3 linked regions of the Drosophila melanogaster genome follow. The protein of the gene in region 3 interacts with the protein of the main gene of each other region in a pairwise test. Each region holds a gene or a part of one and is shown on either strand. Other genes may lie near its edges. The genes, in order: CG17122, CG34453 and Ran.

Region 1 (8,039 bases), on a different chromosome or scaffold from region 3:
CTTCCGATATCGCACCACATATTGGGCACCTAGAAGCGATAGAAGTGGTGATTACCATCTATAAAATCTATACTTATATTTCAAGAGCCCACCTAAAAGGGAACTAATTATGATGATTATGCTGGCAAAGATCATGGCACTCAGATGAACCAGGGTAAATCGAAGTCTTGACATGGACTTGTGGACAACAGAGCGAGTTTTTCCAGACAAACGAGTGGCGGCCACAAGTGTGATACTACTGTTACTGCTCCTTGTAGCTGTTGAACATTTAAATTAAATTAAATTATTAAATTCGTTGAATATTTATCGAAGTTTTACTCACCCAACCGCTGCTGCACATTGGCCATGAATCCCCCGGTGCAGGCTGGACTTGCCTCCTGAGTGGCATTGCCCGCCGGTCCATCGCCGGCAGAGAACTCCACCAGGAGTTGGCCACCAGTGGAATCGACGACCACCGGAACGCCGGCTCCCTTGAGGATCAGTCCACCGCCATTGAGTTCCACGAGAAGGGTGGACGAAAGCGACGGTCCATCGCGCACCTTTATGTACTGGGTGGCACAAGGCAAGCGGAGGAAACTCAGTGCCAGTGAAATGCTTTCCTCACCATCCACCTGCGAGAAAAGGAATTTTGTGTTCGTGAACATACGGGCAATTGGCTTGGGGTTTCCCCACATTCCCGGGCATGGGGCAAGCGGATGCTGCCGAAGTGGGTCAGGCATTCATCACCATTAAGCCTCCTGCCCATTGGCACATTCCCCTCATCCCTCGAACGTGTCAATTGGCAGGTCTAATCATTCCAATTGTATCGAACAAAAAAGGGCCTGAGTCAAAGTGTGTATGGATGGAAAAGTCGATAGTCCTTTCATCTGATACCCATTGAATATATATATATATACTGGACTTCAGGCCTCTTTATGGGTCCCAACATCTGGTGGAATGTCAAGAGGGTGTTGTATCAAGCAAAATGTAAAAACATTTGCAATACATTCATAATTTTTTAAAGTTAAATTTTTAATTTTTTCTATTCGTATATTTATATACGAATATATATATGGTATTTATTTCCTCTTCATTATAATATTTATTTATATCCTCCTATCTACTTTGTTTCCTAGTATTCGATAGTATAGCTCGGAGTCAATAATCATTTTTCTACCCGAGATTCTTTCTATTCTAAAAATCTCTTCAATATTATTTTTTCCAGCAATAAATCTGCTTGTATCCAATAATTGTTTGTTAATTTTTTTCTTTCACTTTTCTTGCCTTTTTTCCAACAATTTATTTCCATGCAATTTTTAACCTACTAAAAGACAATGGATGTTCTTTTCCCAAGATAGCGTTGAGCATACCCCTTCCTACCGAGAATACCGAGTACATTAAGTTCAGCTCACCCCCATTGGACCCCTTACGCATTGATAGTTTGGGGACTGGCCAAAACGCCTACCAAGTGGGGCATTTATTATGCATGAATTGAGTTCAGCCCCCTTTGGCCAGCGATGTGCGTCCAGATCGGAGCACCACTGCCCTGTGGCATGGAGCATTGAGTGGGGGCTTCTTTGTCATTTTGGGGCAGCCTGCGAAGCGTAGCGGAATTTTATTCATGGACTTGGACATCTGAGTGTTTGGCATTGTTCGTTTTTATAGTTATGGCGGCAGACAACTTGAAAGCTTTCAAAACTTGACCAAATGCCAAAGGGCAGCGTCACTTAACTTTCCCTATTTTCTACTATTTTTTTTTTTATATTTTTTTGGTAAGTTGAGAGGTTGTTATGGAATTGGTTAATAGTCTGTACCTGTATTAGCCAGAATGAGCGGCCAGGACAGCTCTGTGTGGCTCCAGCAATGATCCTTTTGGGCTTCGAAGAGCCCAGATGTACAATGCAGCCGCAACGACATCCTGGTCCAATTTCCTGGCTCACCTCGGTGCTATTTTCCTTGGTGATGACTGTACCCGAAGTCTCGTAAATGCAGTCCCACGTGTCGGCGATGCTTTTGCCACACTTTTGGGTCTCAACCGAAGGACCCTGTAAATACATATGTAAATTATATTATTAAGAGTTTAAAAAAGCGCTCAAAAGAAAAGAAAGTAGTGACGAATCGAACTGCAGAGGTGTATGAGCTATGGAAATTATCATGAAGTCTTTCTATGTTAATGAAACATTTAAAGAATTTAAACGAAAGAATAACACGTTTTTGACTTTGCACATATTTATTCAAGACTCAACAAAATTGGAACTACAAGTAAACTCAATTTTCATATCCCTCTAGTAGACGAACTGCACATCGAAGTCCTCCTCCTCGCCTTCCTCCTCGCCCTCGTCCTCGTTGGTAACACCCGTCATTTTGGATGTGGCCGTCAGTGTGTCCAGAGCCCCAATGCTGGGAGCACCCTTGATGTCCTTCGAGGATGCGGAAACGGCTAGCGGTACGGTTTCGGGCGGAGCCACTGAACCCTCACTGCTGGCCTTCTTCACAGACATGGAGCTGGTGGAACCCTCTGGCTCCTCCAGTGGCTCCTCCTCCACCTCAATGAGATCGTCCTCGCGCGATGATGAAACGTATAGAGTAGTGCCGAATTCCACATCGATTATGGTATTCTCGTCACCTCGCAACGAGGTCATTAGCCGATCCTGCATCTTCTGCTTTTGCAGATCCTCCGGAACGGTGCGATCCGGCTCCTGTTCGATGACCTCGCTGCGGAAGGCGTCGAATGGCGTTGCTTTGGGTCTCGTGGGCATGAAGCCCATTTTACCTGGAGCATACAGCGATGAGGTGGCACTGACAATGGAGGCAATCGATGGAGTCTTCGGAAGCTCCTCCGAATGGGAGCTCACGATGCTCATAAGCTGGGAGAGCAAATCGCTGCGTTTCAGCTTGCAAAGGGATATGGCCTCCTCCCGAACTTCATTTATCATTGCGGGATCATCCACATTGGCCTCGACTAATCTCTCCGGGAATTTCTTGGCTGCCTGCTCCGCCACAATCGCATCCCGCACAGTGCACTTGATCTCTTGAATGACTCCACGCAGTCGAGTAATCTCGATCTCGTGCTGGGCATGGACCACCTCCAGATTTCGATTGTCCAGATCCAAAATCTCCATTCGCTTGGCCAGGGTCCGGAGTTTTCCGGCCGCATCCTTTTGCTTGACATTCTCGCACTTTTCAGCTTGGAGAAGGGATTCATAGGCCTTCTTGTAGCGCAGTACCTCCACGTACTTGGCTTTCAGTTTCTCGTAGTTCCTGGTCAGACCCTCAATGATTTTGATCTTGTTCACGGAGTTGCGGACCAGCTCGTTTTTGATTTGATCGAGGGCACTGTACTGCTCCTCCATCTCCTTGTGCTTGGACTTCTGGTTGGTATATGCCTGCTGCAGTTTTATCTGGGACATGACCAGTAGATCGATCTCCTTTTGCAGGGCTATGTTCTCACGAATCAGGCGGCGGGTGTAGCCAGCGTTGCGGATCTCACTGGACCGGGTGAAGTCCTCGGAAACTTGCAGCAGCTTCTGTTCGACCTCCTTTTTTAGCGCATCCTTCTCCACCACAGCTCGTTGTTCCATATTATAGAGCGCCTCCTTGTGATCCTTCTCGCGCTCATTGAGATCCGCCTCCTGCTCATCGAACTTGGCCAACAGGACATCCCTCTGGATGCGGAACTCGTCGAGGGAATTCAGCTTGCCATTAAGCAGCTTTATTTCGGAGGTCAACTGGTCGTGCATGGCCTTGTATTTCGACTCCAAGTCGCCGATCTTCTCCTGTGCCACGCGGTTCTCCACATCCCGCACCTTGGTGATCTCTACCAGGCGCTCCTCCAGTTCGGTGATCGAGTTATTCCTCTCCGCCAGGGTGCGTTCCAAGTGAGCGGCCACGTCGACGCCATCGGCCTCCACTTCCTTGAGTTTCTCGGTCAGCGTGATGTTGGACTCATCGACGGTGGTCACGTGGGATCGCAGTCGAGCTAGTTTCTGGTTGAGATCCGTGATGGTCAGCTCGTAGAAGGTTCTGTCCACCTGGGTCACCTTGTTCACATCCTTCTTCTCCTTCTTCACTTTCGGCGGCATTTTTGAGGCTGCTGTTCGTTATCAGAATTGACTGTCTACGAATTTTGACGAGTGTTTGATATTTTAAGAATTACAAAACGCCAGTGACATTGTTTATAAGTATGAATTTGCACACCCATCGTTCTTTGTTTAATTAAAATGAGCTCTGTTATAACAACTAGTTGATGAACCGTTGTCAAGGAAATTAAAGCTTTTCAAAGCTGAACCCATATCCTTTACTGTTTGACCATAAAGCTTTATTTTCTGGAAGGAACTCGACTATTAATTTAGTAAAGCATTTTCCAAGGACCTAAAGAGTTTAAAGTGAATCCATTTGTTATATGTATACACATGTACTATTATTTCCAATTGTTTTCGGAAGCGAACCTGAATATCATTACAGATGTGGCTTTTTTGGGAAAAGAGTGAAACTCAGCGAACAAGAATCATTTTTTAGTTCAACCACAGCATTACCTTAAATAAACCAAACTGGACAAATATATTCTATAAAAACCATTAAAAATATCAGTTTTTTTTCAGAGGTATTTTAGCTATCCCCTTACAAATAGATATATAACTTTAAGCTCCATTTTATAAATTTTTCTCCCCAGAATGACTAACAATTTTGGTTAAATTCTATTTAAATTTAATTTAAATGTGTTTTTCTGCCTAAATCATGAATATGGTAAACATTTTACTGCCTTAAAATGCTTAAAGCGCCACTAGAAAGCCACTAATTTGAGTTTGTGGTGCTTCTGTGGTCACAAAAGGTTATTCCCCGTGTTTTCTAAAAGCAAATAGTGCCTGCCGTGTGGGAGCTTTGTTTGATTAATAGCCCGTGGGGCAATATTTGTACACGCACATGGGCGGCAACGCCTCCGGGCGTTTCTTTTGGGGGCAAATGCAAATTGTCGAGGCAAGTGGGTGTGGGTGTGGCACCCACCGACCGGGTGCTCCTCCAGCAGCCGGCCCATGGACACAGCCGCCCACGCAATTGTAGTCGCCTCACGGCGAATCCATTGTTCCAGCATCCGTGGCGTCCGCGACTCCCGTGTAAGAACTACTTGCAATAAGTGTGCGGAGCATTTAAAAACTTTGCCTGTAATTGTTCCGAACAAGTTGGCAAAGTACGGGCAAATGTGCCCCTATCGCTGGATCCTGATGCCGGAAGTTTTTGGATAATGAAATGCGCGGATGAGGACGTGGATGGTGGCAGTGCGGGAACAGATAGTGACGGAGGCGGAGGTTCATTCTTCCACTCGCTTCAACAAAAGAAACAAGATAAAGCGTGGCGCAGTAGGCCGACAATTGTCGGAAGCGTCGTAAATTCCCCACGCAATCTGGAGCAAGTGTCGCAGTGTGGAAACACGCTTGCAGACAACATAACATACCGTGCCGAAGCCACCCACTCCGGCTGCCAGTCCACTCCACGGCATGGCCCACAAACAAAAACAATGAAATAGTTCCACTTTGCCCCGGCGGGCTACACTGCAAGGAATTACTCAGTTGCCTTTCAATTTCAAGATTTTATCCGTTTTACTTTTGGGAATATAAAAAAATGTATTTGTTTCGTCACTAATGAAAATGTTTGAGCTTGTATTTGAGTTTTAGCTGAGTTTGGCTATGCCCTCATTTATATGTTCTAAGCTGAGAGTTTTTAGTTAATATAAAGTGTTTAGAATTCGCTCAGTGTAGGAAAGTCGAGTGTAATGTGTGAACTAAGCTGGAAGCAATCTCTTGGGTAACGAAGTCCCCAGAGTCGGGCGAAGTTCGCCTGTCTTTAGTTGTAGTTCCGCACTTATTGAAATCGTCTTGATGGCTCAGATGCGCCAAAGTATTAATCATTTCTGGGAGCACTCAATCAAACTTTGGCTGTTAACGTTGTCAAATCAGGTGGGGAGGCAGAGGTCGTTCAGAGGTTAATCTGGCGAGTTATTTGGGCTTACATACCTCACAGAATTTGGCCCCATATCGCGGGGGTGGTGAGTCACAGAAGCGGTAGCGATTGCGCGTTCCTCCCAAGCAATTTGTGGAGCAGGGCGTCCACTCGCTCCAAGGTCCCCAGCCACCGGTATCCGAGTCTGCGGAAAGAGTGGTGTCATGAGCTAATCACTTCAAAACTTATACAGCGTGCTTAAATATATAATATAATGGGGCGGGAAAATGAAACTATTTGAGGGTTATGTATTTCAAAAATGCCTTTGTAATGCTTTAGGGCTTGATTAAAATTTAAATAATGTGAAAAAATTTGAAGTTATGCTTTTTTAAAAATTAATGCGAAATAGTAATTAAAAGGGTATTTTTTTCAGTGTAGCGAGCACACGCAATAATGTGTTAAGAACTATTTGAACTCCAGCTTAATTGGGATTTTCCTTTTAATGGAGTTAAAAACGGCGTTAATGCACCATCGACCACTCACCGCTGACGGGCAGGGTGGGCACACAGTCCATCCGGACATCGGCTACGGCTCCGGAAATTGCCTGGCTGACGTAGACGAAGCAGTACTCTACGTACTTCTCGGAGAAGTGCTCGCAGGCAAAGTACAGGGAATGCTGGCTCTTGACGACCCGCTGCTCGGAGACATAGTGGAGCGACGTGGGTGGCTTCAGGGAGGCGACATCGGCCCGCAGCCTAGCATAAAGACGCACCCGGTCGCCCTGCTCGAGAATGCAGCCAGGATACTCGTACAGGACACCGATTCCCGTGTGCGGATCACAGGGAAATATGCTGCGGGCATACACGTTGAACACGAATTCGTCGCTCCAATCGACGCTCAGTAGCCGCCGGGTGGTGGGCACGTTCTGGGCGGGAATCATCGGTCTCAGTTGGACTGCATAGTTTCCCGCTAGTCCAAATAGTTCGCATCCCAGATGGAGGCTCTTGTTTTTGGGGAATCCGCGTATTTGCTCCGCAAAAAGGACACTAGTTGGGGTTATATTCCGATTGCAGCTGCGATCCTTGCCGCAGTAAATTAGCTCCAACCAAAATTCCGGCAATGCCAGACTGCCCGACTGATTGCAGTTGACCTCGGGAAAGCGGAGGGTCACCTCCACAGGATGCTTGGGATAGGTCTTCAGGCGCACCGGACTCACTATCATCTCGGCACTGGGCCATCGCACATCGAGCGTCTGGTGGAGTCGCTCATCCTGCGCGGGCACCAATGTGGTGGTCACCTCACTCCGGTTAACCGACTTGAGATTGCTCACCACCTGCATCTCGTAGCGTCCTCCGATCAGGAAGGTCTGGCATGGCACCGTCACCTGGGTGACATTGAATCGGGGATCCGGGAAGAGCGGTATATTCTGCACCACCTCCTTGCGCTTGCGATGCAGCACCACCTGGCTGGTATTGGTTACCTCGGGGCCCGGAGTCAAACCCTTTTCCAGCGGTGACTCCACTTCATCAATGATTTTGCTAATGACTAAAGTGCTCATTATGGTGTTGTTCCTGCTCTTCAGCCCGTCACTGGAGCTCAAGGGCTCCTCGTTGGACGGGCCACCACCGATGGTGTGCTCCTCCTCCGCCTGCGAAGACATCTCGTTCCCATTGAACTGGATCTGCACATGCAGGTCCCCGCTGAGGGCGGTGAATGTGCTGGGGGACATCAGACGACCCTTTCGCACCGCCAGCACGTGACCTTTTGTCGAAACCGCATCCGAATCCAAATTGCAGTAGCAGGAGTACACAATGCCGGCAATTTCCAAGGAGTCACCACATGAAACAAGAGAGAGAGAAAAGCAAAGCGGAGAGATAAGAATTATAAATCCTTGTAATTTGTTTCGTGTGGCTGCCTTCTGTTTGGACCCATTGAAGAGCCTCGGCCATTGTTCACTCCACCCAGGTCGTGTAAATTGAGTCGCATTCGCATCCAGCAACTCCCCCGGGTACAAATTATGCAAACAAAACAAAAACATAGAAGGAAAACTCCATCCACAGCCACGAAGTTTGATGTCTTTCTCTTTTTTTGTTGTGGATAGATAAAGACTCAACTCTACTGAT
Region 2 (6,850 bases), on a different chromosome or scaffold from region 3:
ATATCAGAAACAGACTTAGAAAATAAACAAAACGAAAGCTTCGTTGTTACCAGAGGATACATACAGAAGTGTAAGTGTTAAAAAATGAATAAAAATACAAATGTGTTTGAAATAATAAGTGCCATGATTTTCAGCTATTTCAAATGCTCTGAAACAAGGTAATTTAAGTCCGGAACTTGAAGAAAAACTTGTTTGTATGCAGAAGCAACAAGAAAATGCGAATTCGACGAATGAGTGGGAAACATGCTCAAGGGGCAGTGTGAATGAGGAAGCACTAACTCCCAGTCGCCAAACTGATGACACTGAATGGAAAATTCGTACTTCCTTAAGACGCCCAAATGCTATGACAACAAGCAGCCAATTTAATCGAATTTTAAAAAAAAATCGGAGCAAGAATGACGAAGTCGCTGAACTTGGAGAGCAAAAGCAATCGCAATTGGAACGTCATAAAGAATTGCTTAAAAAAAATATTTTGCGCAAGCGTTCCTTATTAGAGCGTAATTTACAAAGCGAAATACACGAAGATGTAAAAACTAAAGTCCAAAGACATGTACGCCCCTTAAGTAACGCTTCACCGGATGAACAAAGCGAAAATGAGAGAAGTGGCGAACCAAATTTAGATTTTAAACGGTACGTATACTCATGCACTTGTGTGCAATATGATATATCTAATAATACCTAAATCAAATCGTAGGACAGAGGTGCAGAACCCCAGACATGGCGCAGGCCGACCAAAAAAGTTGACAAGAAAAAAGGAAAAGTTGTATTGCATTTGCCGTACTCCATATGATGACACAAAGTAATGCAGAAATGCATATTCTTAACGCGCTTTTAATTAATATATTGTAATTGTGTCTATGTAGGTTTTACGTGGGGTGCGACTTGTGCAGCAATTGGTTCCATGGGGATTGTGTCAGTATTACCGAGGAAGCTTCTAAAAAACTATCGGAGTTCATTTGCATTGATTGCAAGAGGGCGAGAGAAACGCAACAGCTTTACTGTAGCTGTCGTCAACCATACGACGAGTCACAATTTTATATATGCTGTGATAAATGCCAGGATTGGTTTCATGGCCGTTGCGTTGGAATACTTCAGAGCGAAGCAGAGTTTATTGATGAATATGTTTGCCCTGAATGCCAACGCAAAAACGATGCTAACGCTGCAAATATGAAGAAACTGACTTCAAATGACGTTGAAGAGCTGAAAAACTTAATTAAGCAGATGCAGGTAATAACCTGAAATTCATAATAATTTTTATTTATTATTAGGGACCTTAATTAAATAAAATTTAATTTTGTGGGAATCGTTATTCTGTGTTAGATAAACGAACAAATCGTTTATATATTGATGGCATCAAACATGTTAAAATACGGTAATGTTTGTAAAATTGTTGAAAAAATATTACAAAGTAACGAACAGAACGAAAGTATTATAAGTTCAAGACCAAGTGAATCAAATATCCAATTCGTTCATTCGTTTCACATTCATTTCTGGCTAACGAAAAACTCTCAACTGTAGCACATCAAAAATGGAATAAATATTAAATTTCCCTACAGTTACACAAAAGTGCTTGGCCATTTATGGAACCGGTTGATCCGAAGGAAGCACCCGATTATTACAAAGTGATTAAAGAGCCAATGGGTATGTAACACAAAAAATAAATTTATTCGAAAATAAATAAAATGGGGATATTTTTTTCTATAGATCTCAAACGGATGGAAATTAAACTCGAATCAAACACCTATACCAAACTATCTGAGTTTATAGGCGATATGACAAAAATTTTTGACAACTGCCGTTACTATAACCCAAAAGAATCATCCTTTTATAAGTGTGCTGAAGCACTAGAGTCATACTTTGTGCAAAAAATTAAAAATTTTCGCGAAAATGTTTTTGACCAAAGAACATAAGAAATAATAGCCCTTGAAAACTTTAGAACAAATGATTATAGTTTATAAAGACACTTCTAACAATTTGAAAAACGTCCTTCAGTTATGTATTCTTATTTTGAATCAAATGTTATATAAACATATATTATCAATAAAAACACATATAATTAATTATAATAAATTATGTACATATTGACCATATTTAGTAACGTACACCAGTATGCAATAAATTTCATATTCACCAGACATTTGTAAGATTAAAAATAATTAAGTAAAACCCCCTTTGTACAAAACATTAAAGTGTAAATAAACAGCATGCATTTCATTTGATATCCTTATCATATGCTGTAGGTTTAAACTTAGGCGTATGTAACTTGTAAAAATACAAGCTTATAATAAATGTTCAGCATATTTTGAAAATAACTTGCATTTATTTAGTCTTTGGTTTGTTTACTGCTCATTGGACTTTTAAATTCACACCTACTCAGCAAAAACAAAAATATACCTTAAATAGCTTATTAATATTATTAGACGGATTCTTTGCACTAAAATAACAACAAAATCCTCATTTGTTGATCTGCATTGAAATTTTTGTAGGCCCTTGCATAGGGTATATTTTGTAACAGTCCGAAATTTGCTTCGCAATGAAGGTACCCTTTATGATCACAAACTATATTCCTATATTCTTGATCAATATCAGCAGACGATGCGACATAACAAAGCCCGTCCGTCAGTTTCTACGCAATCCAGTCTCTCAGTTTTAAAGCAGTTATACATGGAACTTTCCCAAAAGTCTTCTTTCGGTTGCAAATGTCACTATATAACGTAGTCGTTACTAGACTGTCCAGAAGTTGTTTATTCTACGAGTAATGGGTATAAAAATACTAATTAACTGGTTGCCATGGCGAGCGTGCGCAGAAAACGGGTTTATTAAACAAAATTATTGACTAGTTAAACATAATAAAACGATGGAACCTGCTAAAGTGATTGGAAAGCTGTAAGAGTTCAGCACATCTTATTAAAATATGAATAGCAGATATTATTAACAATTTTAGAAAGGAGCAAGTGCGCATGGAGCACAATTCGCGTCGTAGTTTTCCAAAAGCTTGGAGCGAAATTTCGGGCAAGCAAACTAACAAGTTCTACCACCAATCTGAGATTAATTCTCAACTAAGTAACCAGCTAAAATTAAAAGGTATATTTACATAGAGGTTTATAATTGTGCACTCACATACTCTACCCTATAGACCTGTGCCCTTTTGTGCACAACAACCAAGGCGAATCGCGATTCGTATCTCCGGAGATGTACAAACCTTTACTGGCCGTCTGTCGCTGTGGGCGAACTAAGGAAAGCATCCATATGGGAAAATGCTTACAAAGAGCCTTGAGTCCAGATTACAAGCAAGAAATGGTACAGAATGGCACTGATGCATGGAGTGCAGAACCATTTAATGTGCCTTCCACTTCAAGCTGTAAGTAGTGCACCTACATTTAATTGTATGGGTACAACAATATAAAGAGATTTTCAGCTACCATTGGCTTCGCAGCTATTTCGAAAAACTACCAAAAGCTGGAGCGTTCTATGCAATATGTTTCTCCTGCGTTTTCCATGCCTGGCCCTCGAATTACAGCAGTCCCTTACTATAATATTATTATTGGATAAGTCATCACGAATTTTAAAGTTTCTTGTTGGTCATTTCCAACCCATATTTTTGATGAATCAAATCTGGGATTTCCCTAGATTATTGCAAATATAAGCACATGATAATAAACTTAAAATTGATAGCGGGCATCGTACAGAACTGGATTTTCCAGACGATTGACTGCTTTAGAAACCTGTATTCAGTGGCGTTCCCATATCTTATTTACTACTTTGTATTTTGATTCACTGAATTAAAACTTTCCAGTATATGTGAAGTTCCTTATGCTTAGTGCAGCTGATTCTTGTGTTGGTTCAGTTTCCCTCGATCAGCGAACGAAAGCACATACGACTATAAGCTTCAGGATTCAGTTAAAGATGTGCATCAATTGGCATCCAATATTTATTTTTGCTTGTTTAAGTCAGTTGGGCGCAGCCCAAGAACCTTTAATTTTCGAAACATCTCGTAGCCCATGGAACAATGCCGCCGCAACGACGTCAATACCAATTTCGCCCACCAGCGCAAACTTAGTTTTGGTTAACAATGTAAGAATACCAGGAGGTCTTACACCATTTGTACCAGCACCGGCCCCAACCAAGGAATTTCTGAACTGCTTTGGTAACTGTCCCACCACATCGCAATACAATCCCATTTGCGGCAGCAATATGCAGCTTTATATGAACGAGGAAAAATTTAATTGTGCTCGTTTCTGTGGAGCTGGTGAGTCCATTATATCCATTATATTATTATTTTTTAATCGAAAATATACTTCACTATTCGTTTTTAGACATTCAAATAGTTCGAAGAGGTTCTTGTGAGGGTCTTTTTGCGATGACGCGAGGTTGATATGCAACAACCAGCTATTTAATGTAATAGATTAATATACTCCAACTAAGATATTTTCAGTTTAAATATTATTATGGCACAGAGATAAGACGCCACGCAGTACATAACAACGCAAAATAATATAAATAAAATAAATACATACTAATGCAAAACAATCAAGATAACCTTGACGCACTTGTAGAAAATTTCGAAATGGATTCCCAAGACAGTTCCGTTCTGAATTTCAGAGAGAATACTTGCAAACATGGAGGCGATTTATCAATTGGTCGTAATCTTAGGTACATTATATACATAAATATATTTTATTCTGTGTGAAAGCTCCTTCTAAAATATCCGTTTTCTACTCAGCTATTATTTTTGGGCATCTGCAGTTCCAGTCCACGGTGTTAGCTGACCCTGCTTTTCGTCGCCCAAATGCCATCGCGCCCGCCCGCACCTATAGCGGTGTATACAACCACTCGACGATTCACAGAGCTGTCGAAAAGTCCAATTTGACTGCCCCGGCGGTTCACCAACCTGTCCTCCAGGCACCCGGATTTATAATACCATATCAGAACCGTTCGTTGGTTCACGCCAATCAGGGATCTCATGGCGTTTTACCAGGTAGCGTTCCAGCGCAAGATTCAGGTCCTTCCAGCGTCTGGGTGGCCAGTAATAATCACCAACCAGGAGTAACTGGCGTTCTTCAACCAAACCCATCCCAAGGTAAAATCGTAAATCCACCATTTGTCATTGGCAAAAATAATGGATCGTTTTATTCAACCTATAATGCAACAGTCCCTGGCAGGACTTATCCTTATGGAAACCTTTCCATTTGAGCAATTATAAAATTTTACCAAAACCCAATAAACCAAATTAAGATTAGCATTCTTTTCAAAAATCAATTTATTGTGATCTTAAATCGTTTCATGTATTAGAATCATCGGCATAAGTATTGGGGTTGCTTTCCGGTATTCCAGAAGTGTAAATAAATGTATATTCAATGAAGATTTTCCATATAAGGGATAATCAGGGATGCGTATTTTTGGAGGCGTGATTACGCTGATCACGCCACCTAAGTATATCAGCTTTGAACTATCAATAAATGGAGTGACACGCATGTATATGGAATGCGATGGCTGACCAATTGCCGAAAAATTAAACCGAGGATCCCTCGCCGCCGTCAGAAATTCCCGCGCTGCAGTCCTAAACTCCCACGCTGCCGTCAAAAAAGGTCCCACGCCGCCGTCCAATCTTATAAGAATCCCGCGCCGCTGTCCAGAACCTCGATCCCTCGCTGCAGTCCCGATCTCCGTCTCCCACGCCGCAGTCATCTCCATTGATGTAAATTCCAGTAGTCTTAAGAATATGGTTCCTAGCGCCCTGGCCTAAACGCCCTAATAATCCCGCGTTGCAAAAACTTGATATCCCTCGCCGCAGTCTGAACTATCCGTACGTCCGCCGCCGTCGTCTTTGAGAGCCGAAAATCCCACGCCGCTGTCCAAATTTACTCCTAGGCCGCTGTCGATGGTTAAATTAGACTGAATCCCACGCCGCAGTCCAAGTTAGAGAATCATTCTTCAACAAATCTAATATCCTCACGAAGGGTCCTCACAAAGAAAAAGAATCGACCAGTGTGTAGCGAAGCGAAAGCTGTATGCAATCCAACTTTTATATTGGTTCGAAGGGGTACGGGTTGAAACAAGGATTGAAGTCGTCATCAGTGCCGAAACTCGTAAAGAATTAGGTGCTATCCCAAGCCAGTAGTGTGAAATCGATGGTGCTTAGTGAAGAAATGATACCTCCAGCCTACTTGTTGCTCCAAATGCAGATAATGAGGAATGATCCGAGGAGGATTTTAGGACTTCTCATAATAAAAATGACCAAATCGTGTGGTGCTCCTACGCCGTGTAGTGTTCGTTCTTAATATGCTCCAAATAGACCCAGGATGCGAATTTGGTGATTGAATGCCCAGTAAATATAGGTAAAAGGTAGAGTGTTGAAATACTCGAATGTATTGAGGGTCAGCACTGCCTCCGCCTGTGTATGTATGGTCTCCCTGCCTTGGTTCGGGGGTCAAACGATCCTCTGCAGTTTGAAACGTCTATGTACGGTGCATCCACATCATCTTACTGCCATGAATCTTCTGCTAATAGCGGTACTGATATTTAACTGACTCTTGCTGCTACTTCTAGACCGGACCGTCTATCCTAGGGTAATGCAGTCCCGATGCAATCGTCAGCGAAGTCGGATGTCTGCATTGACTCTTAGAGGAAAGGTTTACAAGTAATAAATTAAAGGTTTATAAAAGCCTACAAGATAATGAAACGATTCGTTTAGAATACATAGATTTGGAAACACTAAAGGAAAAAATTATGAGGATATGACTTCTAAAATGCTTGGTTATAAATGCATAACAAAATCTATTTGGTCTTCAGTTGGTTGTACCGCGGGGCGCGTGTCTCTTGGATTCCCTTTGAGACCAACATGGCGAAT
Region 3 (10,011 bases):
TACGCGGGAATCAAGTGTTGTGTGCTCAGCGTACACTGCGATAAATGAATGGGGTACATAGTACATACATATCTCTATACATCTGAATTGAAGATTTGACATAGGATTGAGGATTAAGCAGGCATTTTAAGTATATAACTACTTTGTTTTATTCTATAGAATATAATTGACAGTCCGCTTTCTCCAAGTGTAGCTGGCCCAAAATTCGGTGGCACAAAAGAGTTATTTGCGTGCCGTGATTACCGCTCAACCTTGCCACAGTTTCTCGAACCGTGTCACTTGGCTGTCGGGGATTCCGCCTGCCAACTTCACTCCTCCGCTGCTGGCCGATCCCCGCCAGAACTCACTCTCGCTTTCAGGGCTGGCTTAATTAATTTAAATTCTTAATTTAAACTAGAGCTGGCGGGCGGCGCAAAGCGAACGCCTTAAGTCGGTCGGCAAACAAAAGCCACAGATGCTATCGCTATCTGGTTGTGCACACACACACATGTGTGCCACATACTCGTGGTAGTACGGCACATGGTTCATTATTAATTTTATATAAAAGCAACAACAATTAATTGTAATTGACTCAGTCGCACGGGCAGCGCTCAACAGCCAAGTCGGATTTGGATTTCGAGCAATCGTGGTGTTGCCTCTTAGCTTATCCCCCCGAAAGAAAAAAACCACCATCACCTCCTCCTCCTCCTCCAGCTCCTCCGCTCATTCGGCGACTATGCGAGCCGGAGTCGCCTGTCTCCTGGTGCTCCTGGGCATCTGTGGAGCCGCTCGGGCGGATCTTACCTACCGCGGAAATGCAGTGCATCCAGGTCATTAAGAAATGGATACTGTATTCATACTATACTATCTAGATAGTAGTTAGATACTGTAGTGAAAACTAGATACTAGAAAATGATATCATATGAACAAATTCATATGAATCAAAGGAATATATTATAGATTCCAGATATACAGATGCTATAGTATCTATAATGACTACCAGATACTATAGTATCTATAATGTCTCTTAGATACTGTAGTAATATCATATCAATCAAAGGGATATAGTACTATAGTTCCAACCAGATAATGATCGTTTATGTGCTTTATGTTTCCAGACTATCCTGGCCAGTGCTACTACGAGGAGCTCAACCAGGCCATACCCAAGAAACAGTCCTACAAGCCCATCAATCGCGAGGGCTACTGCCAGTCCATCTACTGCAGACCAGACTATGTCCTCGAAATTAGCTAGTAAGTTAAAAACACTTATTATGAATATATATTTTTAATGCATATTTACTTACGTTTACTTCAGTTGCGGTCGCCATAATTTGGTGCCCACGGAGAAGTGCAGGATCGCCTCGGATATGCGACGCACCTTTCCGGAATGCTGTCCCAAGCTGGTGTGCCAGGAGTCCGAGAGCAACTACATCTAGCTTAGACTCCTGGCTGCTAAGTATTATTATAGAAAAACATACTTCCTAGTATTGTACATTTTTATTTTGGCACAATGTTTGTTAAATATTACTTGTAAGTTCATTGCGTATTTATGTTGATAGGTTTATTGTTCTATGTTTTTGATATTCTTGCCGGAAATATATATGTATCTATTCTAACAAAAACCCAAAGAATGAAATTCATTGTATATATTTTCAGCCAAATGATAAGTTCATTGTAATTCAAGTAGGTTCTCCACAAAATTTGTTGCTTTAAAATCAGCCTAGAAACGCACAAAAACACTGTGGAAAAGTAAAGTCAATATAATAAATATAAAATAGAAATAATTTATAATAAATTTAATGATCTTGCTTTAAACTAAACTTTTGTATGTTCTTGCATTTTATGCGGATATTTTTGGGATTTGTGCTCAAAATTCAAAACGGAATGTTAGTAAACGGCAATGATTAATTTTTAATTTAATTTTGTTCCCTTTGAGACGATGATCCATTTGGACACCTTTGTACGATCTGGAAGAGCACACTCTCTGTGGAAACTACGCATCTGATCAGTCCGCCTCCCTGGCAATTAAGCAATTAGCAAGTGCTCGCGGAATCCCACTCAATCAAGCAGCTGAAAATGCAAATCACCACTGACTACTGACTGGCTGATTCGCAAACGAGCCGCGCTCCAAGTGGCTCTTTTGGGCAACCTATAAATAGGCAACGGGCTGGGCCAGCTCTCGGTTCAGTCTCGTCACCGCGCTCCAAAGATGCACAACCGTTGCGGATCCATTTGGCTGCTGGCGGCCGTCCTGCTGCTGCTGGCGCTCCTGCTTCCGCAGGCACTGCTGCCTACCGTCGATGCGGGTAAGCTGGCCATGGGATCTCCTACTACTGTTCCATATGTCATATGTAATCATATGTATCTTGTACGTAGCCAGCGAACCCGTGTGCTCCTACCGCAACTCGGAGGATGAGACCATCTTTCTCAAGTATCTGCCGCTGCTGAGACGCGGACAGGACTACGTGGACTTCGGCAAGGATGGCAAGTGCCTCAAGCGGGCCATCTGCACGGACACCTTCAAGACCATCGTGGAGGAGTAAGTGCATCATGACAGCGATCTTAATTAGCAACTTAGGTTGCATGAAGAAAACAAAATATTTCCTAGCTGAACTTTGCCCCGATCTCCACATGATTCTAACCAAGCCATCTACAATATCTTTTTTTCAGCTGTGGACAGCAGAAGGTCACCTGCGGCAACAAGGATCGCTTCACCGGAGTTTTCCCTGCCTGCTGCCTCAAGTGTCCCTAAATCCGAGGAGTTTCATTAAGAACAGTGTATTCAAATGTAGAAATGTAAACAGTAGACGATTAGCTAACGGAATATATGTGCTACCCATTCAATTACAGGGTATGCGATAACTATAATCTAGCATCATTTCCTTATCATCTTTCAAATGCAAATCCAGCTCCGTTCGTTTAGTTTTTTTTTCTTCGACGTTTATTTTTTATTTCTTTAGTTCTTAGATTAATAACATGTGGATGCGAATTCGGCGGCCTGTCTATAGGTTATTTTCTCATAGTTTCCAGTGTTTTCCTTTCTTTTCTTTTTTCAATAGTATTAATTTTCCTTTGGGGGGACTCAGTTCATTGGCCAGCTATTGCGCTCTCGCTCGCTCCGAGCATGCCGTCTCGCTCGTTTCTAACATTCACACTTTTGTTGAAGTAACTTGGTTTTTTCTTCCTTTTTTTTTTTGGGTGGAAAAGAACATTGGTGTTGCAAGTTTTAAAAAAATACGTTCTGCGACTATTTATTTCTCTTGGTTTTCGATTAAGTTGCTGTTGCCTGCTGCTTTAGCACTTTAATGACAATACTACTTACTTACTCCTTTTTTTCCAAGAGCCAACGTATAAGGAAACAAACAAAAAAAAAATCAATTATAACCGACTTATTAATGAATTGGGGATCTAAAATTTAAATACAATCGACGTATTAAGAAGGGCTTGTTTGTAGATTTTCCCAACGATCGATCGAAGAACATAGGCTGGCAAATCCAATAGTGTACGGATAGTACACTACTGCTAATGCTACTTCCTCTAATCCGTAATCCTTCATTCCCTCTTGCCACGCCTTTTCATACGGTGCCTGTGATTCAGTGTTCTATGTTCGGTGTGGTGTTGTGTGTTGTGGTTTTGTGTTTGAGTGTGTGTGTGTTTGTGTTTTCGCGCAAGTCGGATTTCGCTCTAAGTTAACTACAAATAGGCTTATAGCTCCTCGTCCTCGTCGGGCAGTGCGGTCGCCTGGGCCTCCTGCAAGTCACGCTCGATCTGCGCCTGCCAATCCTTATCCATCTTAACCTCGGGCGGCAGCAGGGCTGGCATGGCGACAAACTCCAGGTTGGGATCACCAACCAGCTTGCGCGCCAGCCAAAGGAATGGTTTCTCGAAGTTGTAGTTCGATTTGGCAGAAATATCGTAATACTGTTTGACAAAAAAGAAGGCACAAGCACAATAACGTTAACAAAATTTCAAATAAAAGTTCAGCTTTTCTTTATTTACCTGCAAGTTCTTCTTTCGGTGGAAGACGATGCTCTTCGCTTTCACCTTGCGATCCTTGATATCGACTTTGTTGCCACAGAGGACGATTGGTATGTTCTCGCAGACGCGGACTAGATCGCGATGCCAGTTGGGCACGTTCTTGTACGTGACACGCGAGGTAACATCGAACATGATGACGGCACACTGGCCCTGAATGTAGTAGCCATCGCGCAGCCCGCCGAACTTCTCCTGGCCAGCGGTATCCCACACATTGAAACGGATGGCGCCACGATTGGTATGGAAGATCAATGGATGCACCTCCACGCCCAGTGTGGCCACGTACTTCTTCTCGAACTCACCGGTCATGTGCCGCTTGACAAAGGTGGTCTTGCCGGTGCCGCCATCGCCGACTAGCACGCACTTGAATGTGGGTATATCCTGACCTTCCTGAGCCATCCTTCTAAGCACTCGGTATCTTCGTTAATGCAAAATTTCTGGAACGGTGAGCTGCAGATGGAACAATTGCGTTTGGCTGGTTAGCAACTTGCAACTACTATGCTACTTTATATATTTAAATATATATATATATAGCGGAGCTTGAGCAGGAACAGGAACAGGAGCGGAATGTGTTGGCTAGGATGTTGTTGGTTCGGCGAGCGCCAGGCGACTGACTGCCCGTCCTGCGAGCCGTCCAAAATGTGACGTGCACAATGGATGCGTCAAAGCCCGCCAAGGACGGCGACCAGCTGTTCGGCGAGGAGCGAGCAGGATAACGACAAAGGACACTGCAGCTGCCGCTCCCGCTGAGCCCGCAAGGATAAGAAGGCCGAGATGCCGAGCCAGAGCGAGATGGCCACAGGGTATGGCTGGCTGTGTGTGCAGGTAAGCAGAAATGCCAGGCGCACCAAACAACAACAACAACAAGAAGGCGGCAGGGAGGCGGAAGGATATACTCTGCATACTCGCACACATACATTCCCACCACGTTTATGCGCAGCCCAAAACAGTTTGCCACACAAAAGGAGACCCGGAAAACCCACGGCGGCTCTGACCCACAATTGACCTGGGTAATACTAATTTAAACCCGAGCATAGGAAACCAAAGTGAATAATAAATGCTGACATTTCTGTTCGCAAATAATTAGCGCGCATAAACGCTTGGCATAAGTTTCGGAATATTAAGCGTAGAATTGGAGACATTCAAAACATTCGAAGAAAAGCGCAGTGTAAACAAAATTTTCATACTAAAGAAACTTGATCGCGTTATTGTGTTTGTACTGTATATAGCATAACATTTGTTTATGATTTACTGCGAACTGTAATCAAAGATATATACAAATTTAAGAAGTTATAGAGAAGAAATATTGGTAAATATAGGTTTTGAATGAAATGGCCATATAGCAAATAGAAGTACTTTTTAAAAGAATTAAAGCAAACTACCAAGTTCATCAATAAAGATGACCATATTTTCAGCATGAATCAAGATCAGTTTCATCAATTTGAAATGAGGTGAATAATTTGAATGGATATATTTCGTAAAACGCTGAAAAAGGCATTTGATGACTCATTCCTTTTGGAGACTGAAATGAGTAACTTTTTAAGGATGGCAAGATTGTGAAATTCCTGCGCATCACACCACTGGTGCTGCCCATAAAAGCAGGAAAATTCCTTATTTTGAGTGCCGCCTGTAACGCCGGCAAATTACAAGCACACACACGCACGCATGCACTCGTATTGGTGAGAACCTGTGGACGCTGCGAAGCGCGCCAAAAAATAAAAATGCCGACATACAAATAGTGCAGCGTTTTCTTAGCTCATTTGCTGGCTGGCGAACAGCGCAGCAGTCGCGATTCACGTGAAAATCGCCAATCGCATTTATATATTCTAAATAACAAATCGAATTCTAACACACATACGCACCCACACATGCACACGCACACGGACGACGAACAGACGCAGACAGACGACGACGCCGACGTCGCCGCCGGCAGAAGAAACATGAAGCAAATTCATTGCCGTTTTTTTTTTTTTGCGATTCATGTTTAACCTCACAAAATGCGAATGGCATGGCAGTCGGCGAGAATGTTCCGATGGCCAAAGGACAAGGACATTTGTCCTGCTTCGGTGTGGCGTACGGAGGAGCTGACAGTCCCAATTGGACGGCGCTTTTCCACTGCAGAGCTTGCCATGAGCCGGAAAAGGAGGGATAACAGCACGAGGCGGCACCACGTCGTTTTTCTTTTTTTTTTGTCAGCGAAATCTCTGGAAGCTCTATACGCCACTTGTTTTGTACAACTCTAGCCGGCAATCGGGCTTGTTAACCGGCTGGACTTGGTGGCCGGAAGCCGGGTGGGCGGTGGCCGGGTGGACAGACAGCAAAAGCCGCTGGGTCGGGAATAAAGCACACAATTCCAGGCGAAGCGACGCCGTCGTCCATATTGCATGCGAATTTGGGGCGTCACTGGCGTCATGCCGCACAGCACTTATTCACATCACGGTGGCGAATTAGCCAGGCTGGCAGCGAATTTGCACACAATTTAAAGCCCATTTTGTAGTTCTACTTACATTTTGCTCGAAATTCCTAGAAAACCACAACTTTCTTTTTTGCCGAAACACAATGCAGTGCTGCCAGATTTGAGTGATAAATGAAGTATAGCTGTTGCCTCGATGTTTTCGTTATCGGCCAGTGTGACCGTGCGAGCATAGAGAGGTTCCAAATTCTGGCGCTTACTTATATACCATCCACACCATTTGCAATTATTTAATATAATATATTAAATATATGGCTTAGTAGATATACAGAACACGTGTAGTAACAAAAAAAAAAACTGTCTATCAAATTGTAATGAAACTTTTTGAATAAATAATAAATAAAATTACGAAACTTTTGAGATGCCGTACGACGGAATACGCTCTGTGAGCTGAGTTAAATAATAAATATAAATAATAGTGCAATGTAATAAAATAAATAATAATAAAATAAAGTCAGCGGAGAACTCTTATCGTTAATAGGGCGGTTCATGATATTTATTGGCTGTAGTACTGGAGAAGGTGGCATTTAAACTCCTTCCACTTGTAGACGATTTTCTGCAAAACTGTAGATAAATTTTTGATGAATTTTTTAAGGATCATTACTTAATTAGGCCTACATAAGCCTATAAGCACGGCATTCCGGAACACGCTCTGTCAACAACACCAAACATAAATGACTTTCATGGGTACTTTTTTGTATAGGCTTGTTCATATTTTGACCCATAAAAAAAAAAAAAATAATAAAAAACTTTCCAATGTTCAAAAATTTCACCGTTCCGCCATCGACTCTAACTCATCGACGCTAATTTGATGGTCTTGCGTGCATTTTGGAACACTAAATAACGAAAAATTAATTTTTAAAAAACTTCCCCATGTTCAAAAATTCCACCGTTCCGTCATCGAAGTTATTGACGCACATCGTCCTTATTTCTCCAAATTCATAATTAAACGCATATTAAGATTAAAAATTCGCTACGAGAACGAGCACATGTATTCATCTATCTGGCAACGCCACCAGTTGATGCAACACATTTTTATCTTAAATTGCGAAGTTCCTCGGCCAGATATCAGTTACGAATGTAGTGATCAATCTATCACATTTTCTAACCACATTCGGTTTCAATTCCCACCCCACTCCCTTTCGAAAATTTGCCCAAAATTCCCACAAGTGCATCAATTGCAACGCATCCGAAATCAGTCGCGTGCGTGATTCGTACGATAACCGTCGTTATATATATAGCGTCAATATAATCGGAACAAGATGAGCAAGTACCATAAGGAGCGCAAGTACGCCAAGTTCAGGTACTACATGGAGAAGTACTACGTGCTGCCGCTGGAGCTGAAGAACGACATCATCTACTGCCAGCGATCGCTGCGCGATTTCCTCAAGGTTCACGCGGTAAGTGCACCATGGCTCCTTGGCGAACACCAGTTAATTTGTTTCCTTTGTCTCTGTTCTCTCACTTACGCAGTTGGTCTCGGAGGTCTTCGATGAGCAGGCGGATGCGGTGGGTTTAATGCCAGAAGACTGCAAGTCTTTGTCCTTTGTTCTCTACGCCACGAGAATTCCCGATTCCCCAGGGTGAAGGTGTTCGCCCGTAGAACACCACCCAACCCCCCTCCCACTACACACAACCAAAAAAAAAACCAAAACAAAGAACTGTATGTAGATGAAGCTATGAAACGTAGTACTTAGTTTAGTTTTTTCATTTCAAAGAAACTGATGTACTCGCGATAATTTTCTAGAGTTGGGTTAGAAACATGAAAGAGGCAACTGCGTTTTAAGCAAAACTAATAATGCACAAAAATTGGGTCAAATGTTTTCATTTCCAAAGGAACCACGTTCGCATCTCTGAATTTTTTCGAAATTACTTTCACTTTTTTTTGAAAAGAAGACATATGAGAATTATGTATATGACGAAATCCATCATCTATATGAGCAAATATTGCTGATTTCTTAACAGCATTAATGCGCATATTCTTTAATGCCGCTTTATTTCAATATTTTTCCAACGTGCATCCTTATCCATCAATCTCAACCTCATTTGTGATTGAAATGTATTCCCTTTTTTGCTCAGTGCTTGTGGTCATTAGCGTTTTTAATGGCCATTAGCACCTGTGCAGCTTCCACCTAACAATCCCAGCCACACCTAATGTGACACTCACGTTCTTGTCGTCATTAGGATCCAGTGCAGATGCGTCGCATCTTGGACGAACTGGAGGAGGAGGTGTACGAGATCAATGCCGAGCAGCAGTTCCTTCTGCTACGCCTCAACGATAGCCTACAGGAATTCTCCGTGAAGCTGAAGGAGAACAACATCATGTTCCTGCCGGACATCGCCCATGAGTACGTTTCCGCCCAGGTAGTGCCTTTGATCGTCGATCCCAACTATAAGATTATGCCACAGTCGGTGATGGCTCGTGATACCGAGGAGATGCTTATTCGCAAGCACTTCCTGCTGAGCCAGGACGATGATTCTGGTATGCCGCCGCTTAAGCTCAGCGAATTGGATGAGAATATACCATTGATGCTGGCTCCGCCGGTTAGGGGATTGGGTCAGCAGATCGCCGCCGTTAAGCCGGAGCCAGAGTGGCTCCAAGGCGATGAGGCGACAGTATCAGTGCCACCGCCGCCGCCACAATCGAAGTCGAAGCTGATGAAAGGGTCGCTGGATTCGACCCCGGCCAAGCGAGAGAATATCAGCCGCAGCTCACCGCCGCCCTTGGCGCCTATAACCCAAACCGTAGTGGCTGAGTTGTCACAAGTACCTCCATCACCACAAGCAGAATCTCCACCAGTAAACTTTCACGTTGTGGCCCAGAGTCGCAAGAACTTGCAGCAGGCATTGAGAAGGGCCAGAAAGACGAAGCAGCAGCCACGTTTGTTCGACGACGAGGAGGACCTGGAGATCACCAGTTTGCAGAACGATCGCAACAAGAACAGAACCAGCGATGGCAAGGGGACACCGCCATCGCTGGAGCCAACGAATGCTGCCGCCAATCAGGCAGCCAAGAAGACCATCCCACAAATGTCTAGTCAGGGGATGGCGAAGAATAATACCGCGAAGAGCAAAAACACGTGCAGGAAATCCTCGCCAACGCCCACATCCAGTGGACAGTCGCAGCCAGCGGTATCGTCATCCGGCAGCTCCGATGATTCCAGTGCCGAGCTGCAGCAGGAGCAGCAAAGACGCGTCGCATCCGCCGCCCAGTGGCGCGATGAGCCGCGCGAGAGCCGCACCCAGCCGGAGGAGTACGGCCAGGAGACGTTCCTCGGCCTCTTTGAGCTCTACTCGCCGGAGGTGCTCAAGAAGCTCAGTCAGCGCCACTCGAAGCGCAAGCGTCGCACCGTTCAGAATGCCAGCGGAGTGGATTTTCACTATGGCCAGCAGTTGAATGCCGTGGACGCGTTAGTCATGGGCGTTCGTGGTCAGAAGAAGACCAAGGAGAAGTCCGAATTCCTGCTCTCGCCGACGGAAAAACGTTTGCAGGCCAACTCGAAGAGGACGTACACACGCAAGAG

What was found.
Region 1: the proteins of Ran (region 3) and CG17122 interact in a two-hybrid assay, tested with the Drosophila melanogaster proteins (one large-scale study listed by BioGRID).
Region 2: the proteins of Ran (region 3) and CG34453 interact in a two-hybrid assay, tested with the Drosophila melanogaster proteins (one large-scale study listed by BioGRID).

The regions. Positions count from the first base shown.
Region 1 is NT_037436.4:20,271,194-20,279,232, forward strand, and holds CG17122 (uncharacterized protein), read right to left. Parts: upstream 4,143-8,039; 5' UTR 4,062-4,142; coding exon 2,265-4,061; 3' UTR 2,196-2,264; downstream 1-2,195. Other genes in the region: gogo (golden goal), read right to left, coding at 1-29, 93-257, 323-611, 1,794-2,024, 5,991-6,121, 6,460-7,677.
Region 2 is NT_037436.4:229,359-236,208, reverse strand, and holds CG34453 (uncharacterized protein), read left to right. Parts: upstream 1-2,857; coding exon 2,858-2,886; intron 2,887-2,944; coding exon 2,945-3,084; intron 3,085-3,136; coding exon 3,137-3,361; intron 3,362-3,418; coding exon 3,419-3,552; 3' UTR 3,553-3,729; downstream 3,730-6,850. Other genes in the region: E(bx) (enhancer of bithorax), read left to right, coding at 1-70, 135-630, 695-799, 864-1,227, 1,557-1,641, 1,705-1,910; CG34454 (uncharacterized protein), read left to right, coding at 3,907-4,249, 4,317-4,375; CG42846 (uncharacterized protein), read left to right, coding at 4,620-4,653, 4,724-5,193.
Region 3 is NC_004354.4:11,141,965-11,151,975, forward strand, and holds Ran (Ran), read right to left. Parts: upstream 6,617-10,011; 5' UTR 6,522-6,616; intron 4,633-6,521; exon of another isoform or gene 4,452-4,632; 5' UTR 4,414-4,451; coding exon 3,979-4,413; intron 3,901-3,978; coding exon 3,685-3,900; 3' UTR 2,888-3,684; downstream 1-2,887. Other genes in the region: CG15202 (uncharacterized protein), read left to right, coding at 716-809, 1,098-1,230, 1,295-1,415; CG15201 (uncharacterized protein), read left to right, coding at 2,189-2,285, 2,356-2,518, 2,650-2,731; Lint-1 (l(3)mbt interacting protein 1), read left to right, coding at 7,750-7,887, 7,961-7,996, 8,672-10,011.